Linked DNA regions of Stegostoma tigrinum. The protein of the gene in region 1 interacts with the protein of each later gene in a pairwise test. Links are inferred from orthologs where the notes say so. Each region holds a gene or a part of one and is shown in the gene's direction. Other genes may lie near its edges.

Region 1 (7,291 bases):
TAATATCCAGAGTTGACAGGATTTAATGTTCTCACCCTTTATTGAAACACATTGGTTCTGTATCTCCATATTTCCTTATTGAACGCATCCTACTGTCCTTGGCCGGATTTGCAAGTATCTACTTACAGTACACTCTGCCCAAAGCATATCTGACCTCATTGAAATAATCCACCCCTCAGCCGAGACCTTTGATTTCAGGCCCAACCTTGTTCTTTTCCATAACAATCATGACTTGAATGGACTTACAATTGCTGCTTGCTAAATGTGTTCCAGTAATACCTCAACCACTTGCCCAGCATCCTTCCCTACAATTAAGTACAGAACTGCCTCCTCTCTCGTAAAGAGCTCTCTGTACTTGTTTAAAAAGTTGTTCAGGATGCATTTTAAGAATTTCTGCTCCAGACCTTTCACACAATGACTACTCTAGTTAATTTTGGGCAAGTTGAAATCCCCTATCACAACCCTACTACTTATACACTTTTGAAATGTGCCTACATATCTGCTCCTTTATTTCTCTCAGGCTGTTAGGAGCCTACAGTACACTCCAGCAATGTGATTGGTCTTGTGTGTTTTTTTTAAACACCACCAACATGGCTTCATTTGAGGAGCCTTCGAAGATGTCATTCTTCCTGAAATAGTTCTATCGAGAAATAACATCTTCCTCTTTTACCTCCTTCCCTGTCCCACCTATAGACCCTGTAACCTGGAACATTGTTAACAGACGATCAAGACTGGCAGCTGTCTTACAAACAGCAGTGACATCATACCCTCATGTTGTGCCCTCAGCTCAACTGCCTTGTTCATCAGACACCAAGCATTAAAATAAATACCTTTCAACCTTGCCAAACTCCCTGCACCTTAACAATCTATAATATGACTCGCTTGCTGTCACTTCTAATTTTGGACATTCATCTTCATCTGAACATTCTGTCTGGATCTGTCAAGTCAGCCCTGCTACCTAATGGGTCTTCAATCTACTTCCTATCTCCCCAGATTCTGCTTTCAGGACATCGTCCCCTTTCCAACCCATGTTTTTGGTACCGCTACGTACAACGATCCCTGGCTGTTTGTCCTCCCATTTCAGCAGTAGGGTATTCTGGGTCAGTGGCATCCCTGACCTTGGCACCAGCAAGGTGACATACCATTCTGGAGATAATGGGAACTGCAGATGCTGGAGAATCAGAGATAACAAAGTGTGAAGCTGGATGAATACAGCAGGCCAAGCAGCATCTCAGGAGCACAAAAGTTGACGTTTCGGGTCTAGACCCTTCATCAGAGAGGGGGTTGGGGAGAGGGTTCTGAAATAAATGGGGTCGGGGGGGGGGGGGGGAGGCCTCCCCCTCTCTCCCTATTTATTTCAGAACCCTCTCCCCAACCCCCTCTCTGATGAAGGGTCTAGACCCGAAACATCAACTTTTGTGCTCCTGAGATGCTGCTTGGCCTGCTGTATTCATCCAGCTTCACACTTTGTTATACTATTCTGGAGTCTCTTTTGTGGTGACAGAAATGTCCCCCTTACAATCGAATTGAATCCCCTGCCATCCTTTTACATCCTCACGTGCAGTGTGCCCACCCACAGTGCCACGAATTTGATTACCATTGCTTTCCCCTGCACAATCATTTCCCCCAGCAGTATCCAAAACAGTATGTCTGTTAGAAAGTGAGATGGGCACAGGGGACTCCTACCTTCCTGTGCTCTGTCTAATGGTCATCCATGCTCACTGAATGTGTTTTCCACAACCTGCTCAGAATTACAGATTCTCCAAAATGCAGATCACCAATAGCTGTGGCTGGACACACTTCTGTACACATTTTCACCAGGGCAACTGAAGCTTCCATGATTGCCACATAGTTACAGCAGGAGTATATCACAGGTGCAAGCTTTGCTGCCGTGACTTTTTTTAAAGTACATTTGTAACTCTTTTTTTCTAATAAAAAAGATTGTGATAATTTAGAATACTGCTAACTTACTTTCCCATGCTATGTACTTTCCTTACCCTACTTTACTTATTTATATTTCTTAATTATACTGGACCTGACTTTCATTTGTTTCTGTTGTTTCTCAGTTAATCTCTTCTTTCAAAAAGTATACACTGCTTAAAAAAAATCACAAACCAATCAATATGCCACCAGTGATGTCACTGTTTTGATTTGTTTTCCCAATCAGCAGATCTCTGAAGCTGCAGCTATTAAACTAGGGCTCCTTTCCCTCAGCTGAAGGAACTTACAAACTATGGACAAATAAAAACAGAAAGCATCAGGGAAGGGAATTACTGCCCTGAGTTTAACAAGATAGGGCGGGAAATCTCACAAAACCCTACAATGAAAAACTCTCCAAAAAACTTGATGCAACCTGGACTTAGCAAAATGATTCAGCCTGTGATCTACCAAGCTAGATTCTACCCTGGAAACTGACTTGACCAATATTAGATGAGAGAAAGCTGAGTTAACTTGGGAGTGGTTCATAATCTGAAGATGTTGAATTCAATATTAATTTCAGAAGGTTGTAAAGTGCTTAGTCTGAAAATGAGATGTTGTTGTTCCAGTTTATGTTATTTGCTGCAGCATTGCAGCACACTGACAACTTTAAAAGAAACACAAATTCCTCATTGAGGTAACAAGGTGTAGAGCTGGATGAACACAGCATCAGAGGAGGAGGAAGGCTGACGTTTCGGGCCGAGGCCCTTCTTCAGGCCCTGGACCATTTTCTGAAGAAGGGTTTCGGCCCAAAACGTCAGCCTGCCTGCTTCTAAGATGCTGCTTGGCCTGCTGTGTTCATCCAGCTCCACACTTTGTTATCTCGGATTCTCCAGCATTTGCAGTTCCCATTATCTCTTTGCTCAAAGCTAAACGTGGAACAGTTTAATACCATTATTTACTTGGAGGAACAAAAACAAACTTGTGATGTCCTGGAAAAATGAGACATGCTGCTGAATTGTTTTATCACATACGGAACTGAGTACAATCACTAGAATACCATATGTCAAAGGAAACAAATTATACTGTGTGAAGAAAGGATACTGAATGGTTGGCAAATAGATTCCGAATGGTAATGCACCAAGCAACATCTCCCCAAAGAAAATGTTAATTGTAGTTCTTTTTAAATGTAAACTTGGCAAGTCTCACCCAATCATGACCGTTTGCCAACCAATTAGCATTCTATTCTCATGCAGTATAAATTGTAGCGGCCTTTGAAGTTTGATATTCTCATGATTCTGTCCTGTCGACTGCAAGATAAAATAAAAAGCTAGTTTAAAAAAAGCACACTTTTTTTGGAGATAGTAAGAGCTGCCAATGCTGGAGTCAGAGATAACACAGTGTGGAGCTGGAGGAGCACAGCAAGCCAGGCAGCATGAGAGGAGCAGGAAAGTTGACATTTTGGGTCAGGACCCTTCTTTAGAAATGGGGCAGAACTGCCTGGCCTGCTGTGCTCCCCAGCTCCACATTATGTTATATAGCACATTTTTTTCTTAGTAGTAATAGTATTCGAAGTCCATTATTTCACTCCCGAAAGCATTCTGATTTTTGAAAGAATTATCACTTATTCCTCCCTGGTCAGCTAATTTATACGTTGAATCACAGATCTCATGTACCCTTAAAAAAAAGAAAAAAGCAGATGCTAGACTTCAGGACCAAAAACAGGAATTGCTGGCAGAACTGACTAAGTCTGGCAGAATCTGTGGAGAGAAATCAGTTAACGTTTTGGGTCCAGAAACCCAGAACAGACCTATTCAGTTTCTCCAGCAATTTCTGTTTTTGTTGTGTACACTTACCCTTGGCCAAAGCCTCAGCATATTTCTCTTCTGTGATATTCAAGTTGTTTACATAGGTAGCATGATGCTTGCTATGGTGCAGCTGCATTATTTCTGCACTGATATGTGGCTCCAATGCACCATAGTCAAAAGGAAGATCAGGCAGTGTGTGTTTTTGTTTGGAGGCTAAACAATGAAAATCTGGAGAAATGCTGGAGTAACATCTGCATGAAAAATGGAAGTTATAATCAGTCAAATTAAAAACATATTCACTTTCAAATGCTTGTTCACTTTTGAAACATTAACTACTTTAAATGCTTTCAAGCTTCTGATATTTATCAAGGAAAAAAGTTGAACGGGGTGGACGAAAATGAGTGAAGTGGGACAATGAACAGGAGGGGAGAGGGACAGAGGAAGCAAGTGGGGGAAGGGCGAAACGGAGTAAAGGGGTGGACGGGGGTGGAGATGGGGAGGGAAAGGGATTTGGGGCAGCGAGAAAAGTCGTTGAGACGGTACTCAATCAGCCTTCCGGGAGGATTTTTGCAGAAGCGATGTCAACGTCGAAAGCTTTACTCCAACGACATGAGCGTGATTTTGCCGGTGACTGCCCTACGCGTGCTTTATTTTTAAACTAACAAATATCACACTCACCTTTGAAGATAATTGAGTTTGTTTAACATATTCAGATTTTAGTGTGCGCTGGACAACGTCGAAAGGCACAAACACAAAACCTGTGCTTGCAATCGTACAACACAACGCCCTTGACCTTTGAACTCAGACCCAACCATTTCATTATTTTTTAATTGAATTTTTTTTTTAAAAATCACCTAAATTCAGGAATAATAGCAAAACTAAAACAAGTATTTTGTCGGAAGTATTTATTCTTAAAAAATCGCAAGCATGAATCTTGGTAACTCATCCCTACTACAATCCCTCCAAATTTTTTTGGCACAGCAAAAGCGCTCTTCCGACAACCCAAAGCAGAGGTTTATTTCTGTTGTGCGGTTCTGCGTGTTACTCCGCTACTGAATTTTGAAGTGCGTGTTTCCTTCCCGTGACGCGTCTTAGACGTGAATGGCGGTCGTGGTGACAGCTTGTGCTAGGTTGGCTTGAACTCTGCCCAGCATTAATAGGCATTCAATAGGTTGAATGTGGTACTGTTCGATTTTTCAAGGAAGTCGGGTGAGTGAGTGAACCGGCTGGCTTGCGGGCGCGGCAGTGCGTCAGTTGGATTCGGCGGCTGCTAGGCCGGAGACTCGCGGCGCCATTTTATCTAGGGTTTTTTATTCTACCAAACGACGATTAAGTCAGAAAACGCATACATCTCTGAAGAGCTGGTGATCTAAGCCCCTCCTTACACCCGGGGCCTTGCAGCCAGGCTCACGGTTAGTGTTTTTGGACATAGTGTTTTAGTTTGTGTCTGGAGTTTCTAAAAGTGAGGGTAGCAAGTGTCTTTCCTTGTTATAAGCGTGCACTTGTTTTAAATGACACTAAGCGTGTTTCTTGCTCGTACCACCTCGAAAAATAGCCCTCGAACTAGGTAATGCATGCCGACCATTAGGGCATCGGATAGGATGAGCTTGTTTGTTACAGGGTAAGTTGTTATTGGGCCTAGTAGATTCTACATTCACGGAAATGGGGTATAATAGCGATCCTTTGCAAAAATGAAAGGATTGAGCTTGTGTCATGATCGATAGGAAACCGTTTCTATGCTGCAGAGCGGAAGCCGCCATTAATTTCCGAAATGAGTTATAGATTTTTTTCTCCCAAACGGGCATTTGCCGAATGCCACGGTGGTTATTAAGTAGACATGCTTTTTCTTTCTCGTTGAGATTTGAAACTATTGAGAGTTTCTTAGAGTAACCGATTCTACGTTTGAACTATTGAGTTATCTTTAATAGGTTTTCCTTTGCGTGGATAACAGAAAAGGCTTGCTTACTTGGCTGTATGTGTGTCACCTTTTATGCTACTCAAATTGGGCTGTTATAATTAAAAGGGGAATTTTTTCTGAAAAGTTGAAATAAAGTAGAAAGAAAAGCTTTGACCGCTGCAGTATCTATTGCCGCAGTGTGCCTTTTGTTTCAGTTGCCTTTTGCATGCACTTTGTATTGAGAACACTACTGAGAAGTGAAAAGGCACAAAATGAAGTTGTCGCAAGATGGTTGTCAAATGAGAAGGTTTGAGAAAATCAAGAGATTCCGGAGTACAAAGGATGTTGTAATCTCCAATTTCACTCTAATCTGAAATCAGTGTTTGGTCAAATAATGCAAAAAAAACTAAACATTTTTAGTCATCGAGATAGTCACCTGAAATTATTTTATCACAAACTGTTGGATGAGTTGTATCCTTTCTTTATAAAACTAAACCAGGCGTCTCTGTCAATCTCCTCAGGAATATTTTATAAATCTGTTCCTAATAGATGATGTTACAAGGACACGGACCTAAGGTTTTGGGCATGGGAGAAAGAATTGCTTTGCAGGATAAAGCTGGCTACTTCTGTATAGTCTGAAATTAAATACAGTAAATGTCTAAAGAGACTTGGTGGGTCAGGTGAATGGAGCACAAAAATGCCACGAACTGGTGCACAAAATAATACAAAGTACTGAGTCTCCAAATCTAGGAACTACTTTAGGAGGATTTTATTCGCATTGGGGCGAGTACACTGTCAGTCGGCAAGAACAGTGCATGGACTTCATTGAGCAGAGAGGGGGATGGGGGGAGGGAACTGGAATAAATAGGGAGAGAGGGGGAGGCGGACCGAAGATGGAGAGTAAAGAAGATAGGTGGAGAGGGTGTAGGTGGGGAGGTAGGGAGGGGATAGGTCAGTCCAGGGAAGACGGACAGGTCAAGGAGGTGGGATGAGGTTAGTAGGTAGCTGGGGGTGCGGCTTGGGGTGGGAGGAAGGGATGGGTGAGAGGAAGAACCGGTTAGGGAGGCAGAGACAGGTTGGACTGGTTTTGGGATGCAGTGGGTAGAGGGGAAGAGCTGGGCTGGTTGTGTGGTGCAGTGGGGGGAGGGGATGAACTGGGCTGGTTGAGGGATGCAGTGGGGGAAGGGGAGATTTTGAAACTGGTGAAGTCCACATTGATACCATATGGCTGCAGGGTTCCCAGGCGGAATATGAGTTGCTGTTCCTGCAACCTTCGGGTGGCATCATTGTGGCATCCTGGACACCACCCCCAGGCCTCCTACCCTCCCTCGACCTCTTCATCTCCAACTGCCGTCGAACCTGGACACCACCCCCAGGCCTCCTACCCTCCCTCGACCTCTTCATCTCCAACTGCCGTCGAACAACCAGCCCAGCTCTTCCCCTCTACCCACTGCATCCCAAAACCAGTCCAACCTGTCTCTGCCTCCCTAACCGGTTCTTCCTCTCACCCATCCCTTCCTCCCACCCCAAGCCGCACCCCCAGCTACCTACTAACCTCATCCCACCTCCTTGACCTGTCCGTCTTCCCTGGACTGACCTATCCCCTCCCTACCTCCCCACCTACACCCTCTCCACCTATCTTCTTTACTCTCCATCTTCGGTCCGCCTC
Region 2 (7,212 bases), on another chromosome or scaffold:
TGATCTCAGTTATAGATATATTTAACAAACCTATTCAGTGACGTTTGACACACCTTTAGGGTAAATAAGATTTGAACATGGGTGTCTTAGCTCAGATGTGACTTCACTACCTCTGCTCCGGAAGAACCCCAACATCCCGAGTGCAAATTGTACATAGTGATGAAATGATCCGTTTGCTGGGTTAACAACGAACAGAAGATCACTTGTCAATCTTTTACACGGACGAGATCCTCTTCAACTTCCAATGCCGGGGCTTAACAGACTAATCTTCACCTTTACCTTTGGCATGTTGCTTTTCCATCTGTTACTGACCAGTCTGGGGAGCTGAACAAATGACCAGGTCGATAGTCCAGGTTGGGGAGACACTGAATGAAATCACTTACCTCACCCACAGCAACTTCTAAAATAAAGTGACGGGGCCGATTGTAAAAGCCGAACCACAAATCAAAATAAAACAAATTTGTCATTATTTCAAAATGGAGTAACGTCCAGTTCAAAACTAGTGAAATAGGATCAAGGTTCAAATCAGTCGAGGAAAAGCACGTCACTCTGTACAAAGAGAGATTCAATTTATCGAGGGAAGTATGTGAAAATAATTGTTAACTGCGCCAATTGACGTTTTCGTGCTTCTTAAGAAAAGTGTTTATTTTTCATTCTCTGAAAGTTTGGAATGTCAAAGGCAATCGTTCCAAACGTGTTTATTCCAAAAAAAAGTTCACCTGCAGAATCGGGGGTTTAAGTATAATAAATAAGGTAGTTAATTGGACATTTTCCAGCCCAAAGGGAAACTGCCTTTTCTTTGGTCGAGGAAGGTGCTTTCAGTCAGGCACGTTTAGTTGGAGTGGTCCTAATTCCCAAAGGTAGAGGCACATTGTGAAAGTAATAGATGGTCGGTCCTCGCAAATCCTTACACCGGGCTGTGAAATTAAATGAATGACGTTCTTTACACAGATTTGAATTGTAACCTTCATTCTGAGTTTCGCGCCGTTTCATGAAAGATGTTGAAATCAATTGGCCTTGTTTGAAGTCAAAGAAAACTTCCAAATTGACAGTAAATCCGCTAGGAGTTCAAACTGGACACACCACTCTTTGGTTTCTCGCACTCTTTGGATGCATACACGAAGTTCGCAAGTTCTGACAATCCAAACAATGAAAAACCAAAATTCCATTCCCCGGGGGAAAAAAAACCCACGGGAACGCCGCCTTCAATGAAATTACTTACAGCAAATGTGCATCAAAACCATAGCTTTACACCAACTCTCAAAGTACATTGTGACGTGGGACGCTGGCTAGCTTTATTATCATTCCTCTCTATCGAGGCGATTAATTTCGCCCGGGTCTTTTTGCAGAATGATTACTTTTAGTTTTTCAAGTTAAGTCGTCCTGCTGCTTCAACATCCTTCAAATAAATCTGATCGCAGCACCGTTTTAACTCTCCTTAAGTTCCTCTCTTAATCTTCAGTTTTATTCGCTTTTAAACAAATCGCTTCAAATTGTTTCGAAATCATTTTCAAATTTCAAAATTTGACTGCTTATTTTCAAACAAATAGTCGTGTATTTATATCTACATGAAACTTTTAACTTGACGTTCTTTGTTTTAAATTCGAAAGTTCTTTAATTTTTTGTCTAAGCGCTCCCAGTTTCTGAGGGGAAACTGCATTTAAAAGGAAAACGCCAGACATTTACACATTCGGTCAATTTAATATTTGGTGAAATATAACAACTCTTAGTCAATACTGTACTGATTAGCTCTAGGCTCTTTCTAACAGTGACCCGATATCGAGTCACACCCCGGAGGGATTTGCGAAGAAACGTGCTGTGTAACTGGCTGGAGGAAAAATCAATAATATTTTTAAAGTAACACGCACTTTCCTTTCATATTGACAATGCCCAATTGAATTTAAAGCTGAGTAACTACCAGACTACAATGGATAATAACTAGAAACGACTTATCTTTCTCCTTGATAGTCTCTTAGGGGAAAATATGATGACTGTTTTTAAATCGTACAAAATTACATCAAATCTAATGCGTTCTTCTAAAAACTTCCGGTGAAAATTAGAGGAACATATTTTATAGAATACAATGATATAATTACAATATTGCAAATAGACGATTTTGTCTGAAATGATTGCTGTATTTCAGTAACTGTTCTCTGTGCTCACTGGTTAATAGATCTTTCCCCACGAAAACCTTTCATTTAACTGTGCTAATCTTCAAATATAGCTATAAAGTTTAAGAAAAAAGGATGTAGCAATAAATCTCAAGAAATAAAAGAATAATGCGTCATTTGATTGGACGTGTTGTGTTATCATGAACAGTTTTTCTTAAATCTGCCGGATGGTACAAACAGGCGTTTGCATGAAGGTGTTGGGAGCTGCATGGAGAGGGGATTTAGTTTTGCTCGAAACAAGTGATTTCCACTTTTTTTTAACTTTCATGTACACACTGATACTTAAGAAATCATAAGGATGCAATTAGGGCGAAAGTTCAAACGTCACAGGTTCACAATCGCAAGCCATTCCAGCAATTGCAAATTGCTATTTTCCATCCCGAGATTATTACTTAGAAGCCTACAAGAATAATAAATGCCCATGCTTTCCGCAAAGTAGTTTGAGGTAAATAATTAATCGTATTATTTTGTACGCTTGTAACCACGCGGTTTTGTTTTCCTAATGTTTGGTCTTGGAAAGAAAGGCGTGAGACCTGTTTGCGATTGCATCTGCGGCAAGTGTAATTTCGCATCTCAAAATATTTTACTTTGTACTGTACAGGGCGTGTAAACTCATTCAATAACTGGCACAGCACTGCACAGTAACTGCGTTCCATTACTTAGGAAGTGTTCTATGCAATAAGGTCACCACCTCCACTGTATAGTCGGTTATATCATTTACTAAATTAAGATCTAATCTGGGTAAAAATGCATTGCATATCTGCATTTTTCACAATTGTTTGCTTCAACCTTTTACTCTAAGGCTGTATTCCTGGCATTCGATTTAGCTTTCACCTGCTTCAATGAAAACAGATCTCAAGTTATCCCAGAGCTTTTTTTAAAAGAAAGCAAATTAAGTAGATCGCTGTTTAACAGACCGTCGGATTCCTGGACCGTGTGAAAATTAAAAGGAAAACATGTCAGGCAAAAAGTAATCGTCTGCGAGGGGAAAGTTCATTAACGTTTAAATGGTCGTTTATGTGCTGCTCGTTTCTTTAATGGATTGTGGTCTGTCACTTCGGAACTGATGCGTCTCTTCTGTTCTCCCTGCGTTTTTTTCGCGAAGCTAATAGTTTATCATATAGTCCCAATCGCAAATTCTCTGCACATCCATCAACAACCCCGTGTGGTGCGTTCACAAATAAAGATTAAATGATAAGTTGGTGGCTCACATTTTCGAACATTCTAGTGGAGATATTGTACATCAAACCATCGACAAATCAGCAGCCAATTGACATTTAAACTGAAAAAATGTTGCCCAAGTCGGAACAGTTTTAGTGATGTTCGGATTTTATAAAATAAAAATGCCTTTAAATAAAACATATGCAAGCATTTCGCTTATTTTCGGTCGTTTCAAATATCCCAAGCAAAATAAACGAAGCAGCTGGTTGCCCAGAAAGAGAACGTTTCGTGCTTTTGTTTTCAAACATCAAGCAACAGTTTAGATTGTACTTTGGGATCCCACAAGCAGATATAGTGATTCTGAAATCTCCGACAAATGCAGCGATAGCAAAGCGAAGCTAAATTAAAATACAGCGAGCTTTTGTTTTTGTTTGAAATATTACAATAACCTGAATATTCCAGGGAGTCAATTTCATCTCCATCCAGTATTCACGTGTACCTGTGATATTATGTTTATGTATACAGATGTTAAAGTTATGTAGTGTCTTATTCGACATTTTAGTTCGACTTACTGATCTGATCCACAGCCTCCATTATTGCAGAACAAGCTCTTCAGAAAATATAGAGGGGAAGTTTGGTTAGATTCACCACAGGCTTGAGTCGAATGATAGCGACTTTCGAAATTAGGGATGAATTACCCCTACATGCATCCCACCCCCCACCCCCGCTCCGCGCGCGCACACACACACACACACACACACAGACACACACCCTCGTCCCCATCGCTTCCTCCCTGCCCCCACCCCTTCGCCCAGATTGTTCCTCTCTCGCTAACTAATCGACAGATCGCACCACCGAGAGGGAGAGAGAGTGTGTGTGCGTGTGTGTGTGTGTGTGTGTGAGAGAGAGAAAGAGAGAATTGTACACACTGTGTGGACAGGGAAACTGGTCCATGTAACCAGGGAGGACGGATCTCGATCAGAGAGTTTTCAGGCTCCACCTCTCCGCAGTATTTGAGGCTCGGAGTCACCAATCCAATCCAACACATGTGCCATAGTGTTGCTGCTACTAAACACGCACAACTCGCCATCCTATCGTACATACCATTTGACAGCCTCAATACAATAGCCCTGCAGACTGTGTGAAGAGCTTGGAAGTTTGACCAACAAGAGGAGATCCCAGCCCTGGGAATATTGTGTTGGAGGGGGTGGAGGGTGGAACGGATTCATATAGAGAGGAGAACAAGAAATAAACGATTGATTCGTTTTGGTTAAAAGATTGTTTGGACACCATGGGTTCCGATGTGCGGGACCTGAACGCTTTGCTGCCGGCAGTCTCCACTCTGACCCCGGGGAACAGCAGCTGTACCATGCCGGTGAGCAGCGCTCCTCAATGGGCTCCGGTGCTGGACTTTCACCCGGGGGCTTCTTACAGCGCTCCGATCGGCCACCCGTCCTTCATCAAGCAAGAGCCGAGCTGGAGCGCCAGCGAGCCCCACGACGACCACTGCCTCAGCGCTTTCACTGTTCACTTCTCCGGTCAGTTCACCGGCACGGCCGGGGCCTGTCGTTACGGAGCGTTCGGGGCTCCTCCGCCCAGTCAGGCGCCTCCGAGTCAGGCGAGAATGTTCACCAACGGCGGTTACCTCAACCATTGTATGGACACGCAACAGCCAGCCAGGAATCAGGGTAAGAAAACGGCAGCAGAAATGGGAAAAAAAAAATTTACCATTTCCTAGCCCCCACCCCCAAAAACTTTCCATTCAACTAGGGGTAAAATTCAGAGACGGCTGCAGAACTGGTTATTAGCAACGAGTGTATCAACAAAAAGAATCCTAAAAGTATTCAGCTCGGCAGATTCCATTTGTGAAATTAGGCCCTCCTAATTCCCGTCACCAATGTGACAAAACAGAATTTAAACCAAGTCAGATAGATTTAGTTCAGATGTTAGCGGGGGTTTCACTGCAGCAATGTAACTGTTAATAATATGTATTTCAGCGCACTTTTTCCCTTAAAAATGTTGAGATCGGTACTACGTAGAATCGGGCACCCGTTGCAAACCACGTTTGTAGCTAAAATGCAAAGGCGTTTGAAAGTTCTTTCCGTACGACACAAAGTGTTTCCACTTCTTCATTTTGCGTTTCCAGTTCACGTCTCTCAAAAGGCTTCACGCTCCCAACTTATTTTCTGAAGCGGAGCGACTTTTACTGGTCCGGCGCGGTGTACATTTTTTAAAAACCAGCTCTGAGCACTTCATTTTTGCAAAGAAATCCTCAGGCGGAAATCCGAAAGATGGGTTATGTACTTTTTTAAACTCCGGCACCCGGCTCAGATGTCTCCAAACCACAGTCCTGTGTTGCGTACAGTGAAAACTGTGTTTCATTTGTCAAAGTAAATTGGATCAATGGACGTAATTTTGAGGGAAGTTGAAACATAATTGCTAGAAAGACTGTAGTATTTATGTGATTGTAAGCATCAATGAGATGTTCCCAGAGGCACATAAGCAATTGCGAGAATCGACAAAATGTGCATGTATCGACATTAACCCTGTGTATTTAGTGGGGTGTAATATTGTGAGTGCTTTCTGCAGATTGAAGTATCAGAGGATATGAGTGATTATAGATGATTCTTTGTTGCCATTTATGTTGTATTAAAGAGTTGCCTTGCAGAAGCTCGTTTCTCATTCATGGGTGGCAAGGGAAGTGGGGGTGGGGTGTGGAATAATGTTTCCTCAAATAGTGATACCTGGAGGATTGGGTCAAAAAGAAACAAGTTTTCGTTGTATGAAAACGCACGTTATATTGAGATTGAATTGAAACATTTGAGGCACCTTCAATTTAATACACGCGCAGTCTTCTGACAAAGCTTTAAATGGGATTATCAATTAAAAAAAAACAAGTCGTTAATGAAAGTGCAACAAATGCAGAACAGTTTGTGATTACTGGTCAGTGAGTAGGATGAACATAGGGGGTTGAAAACTGAGAGATAAAAGCCGAACGGGGAAAGAGATGAGCGGGTAGACGATTAAAAAGTGCAAGGCATTTGTTTTAATGCAATAATCTAAATCCCCATGTGTAGAAAATCGCAGATCACCCGTGGCTGCTGCTGAGTTGCAATCATTTTACATAGAAAGCTCCTCTGCGCTATGCAAAAGCGGGCCGCGCATCAGGTATTAAAACGAAAGATATTTTTTTCTAGATGTTGGAGATATTCTCACTGCCATCCTTAATACAACATTTTTTTCTTCAGTGGATTTCAAGAGAAATCCTGCATTGTTCCACCACCCCCATATCTGATATCACTTGCAATGTATCTCTTTTAAGCTGCCGCTTTTACAAATATTACTTTTACAGAAATTTCACAGATTTTACTTATACAAATCCGCCGATTTTCTTTTCTGGAATATAATAATGGGTCCTGTGCCCTCTGCTCACAGCTGCCCGGGGAAACAAGCCCGGAATTAATAAATAACTTTTCCCTTCACGTGGATATTGCTCCACTCGAGAATTCCTCCTTTGTGGAGGCCGAAATAAACAGCAAATAAACAGGAATCCGAACGAATTTGAAACGAACGGACGCAGCGACTGGCTGTTTGCTGAGTCGGGCTCTCGCGCAGCAGGGCAGAATTCACCTGAAAATGCGATGCTTGGATCATTTCTGCCTAACTGCGCTTATTGACAATTTGGGGCGTTTCTAAGGTTTTTAATTGGGGTTCTTGAATGCGAGATAATGCGCTTTTGTTTCTTGATGCCCCCACAATATGCTGGTGAATAACATGAGGATGAGTGAGGCCGGGGTGCTGCATTATCGCCGGCATCAACCAGCTGGGCTGAATGGCCTGCTCTTGTTTTCTATTTATTCAAAAAGGTACAGAGGAAGGC

What was found.
Region 2: the proteins of wtap (region 1) and Wilms tumor protein homolog interact in binary tests that used the Homo sapiens proteins (3 or more experiments, as listed by UniProt). The link is inferred for Stegostoma tigrinum from reciprocal best matches to the Homo sapiens genes WTAP and WT1.

What each region holds. Positions count from the first base shown.
Region 1 is NC_081362.1:33,421,773-33,429,063, reverse strand, and holds the start of wtap (pre-mRNA-splicing regulator WTAP), read left to right. Parts: upstream 1-4,267; 5' UTR 4,268-4,303; coding exon 4,304-4,352; intron 4,353-4,403; coding exon of another isoform or gene 4,404-4,432; exon of another isoform or gene 4,433-4,539; intron 4,540-4,725; exon of another isoform or gene 4,726-4,934; intron 4,935-4,947; exon of another isoform or gene 4,948-5,137; intron 5,138-5,156; exon of another isoform or gene 5,157-5,346; intron 5,347-7,291. Other genes in the region: sod2 (superoxide dismutase [Mn], mitochondrial), read right to left, coding at 3,774-3,976, 4,404-4,432. UniProt on the Homo sapiens protein: Associated component of the WMM complex, a complex that mediates N6-methyladenosine (m6A) methylation of RNAs, a modification that plays a role in the efficiency of mRNA splicing and RNA processing.
Region 2 is NC_081370.1:43,239,813-43,247,024, reverse strand, and holds the start of Wilms tumor protein homolog, read left to right. Parts: upstream 1-4,202; 5' UTR 4,203-4,623; coding exon 4,624-5,020; intron 5,021-7,212. UniProt on the Homo sapiens protein: Transcription factor that plays an important role in cellular development and cell survival. Recognizes and binds to the DNA sequence 5'-GCG(T/G)GGGCG-3'. Regulates the expression of numerous target genes, including EPO.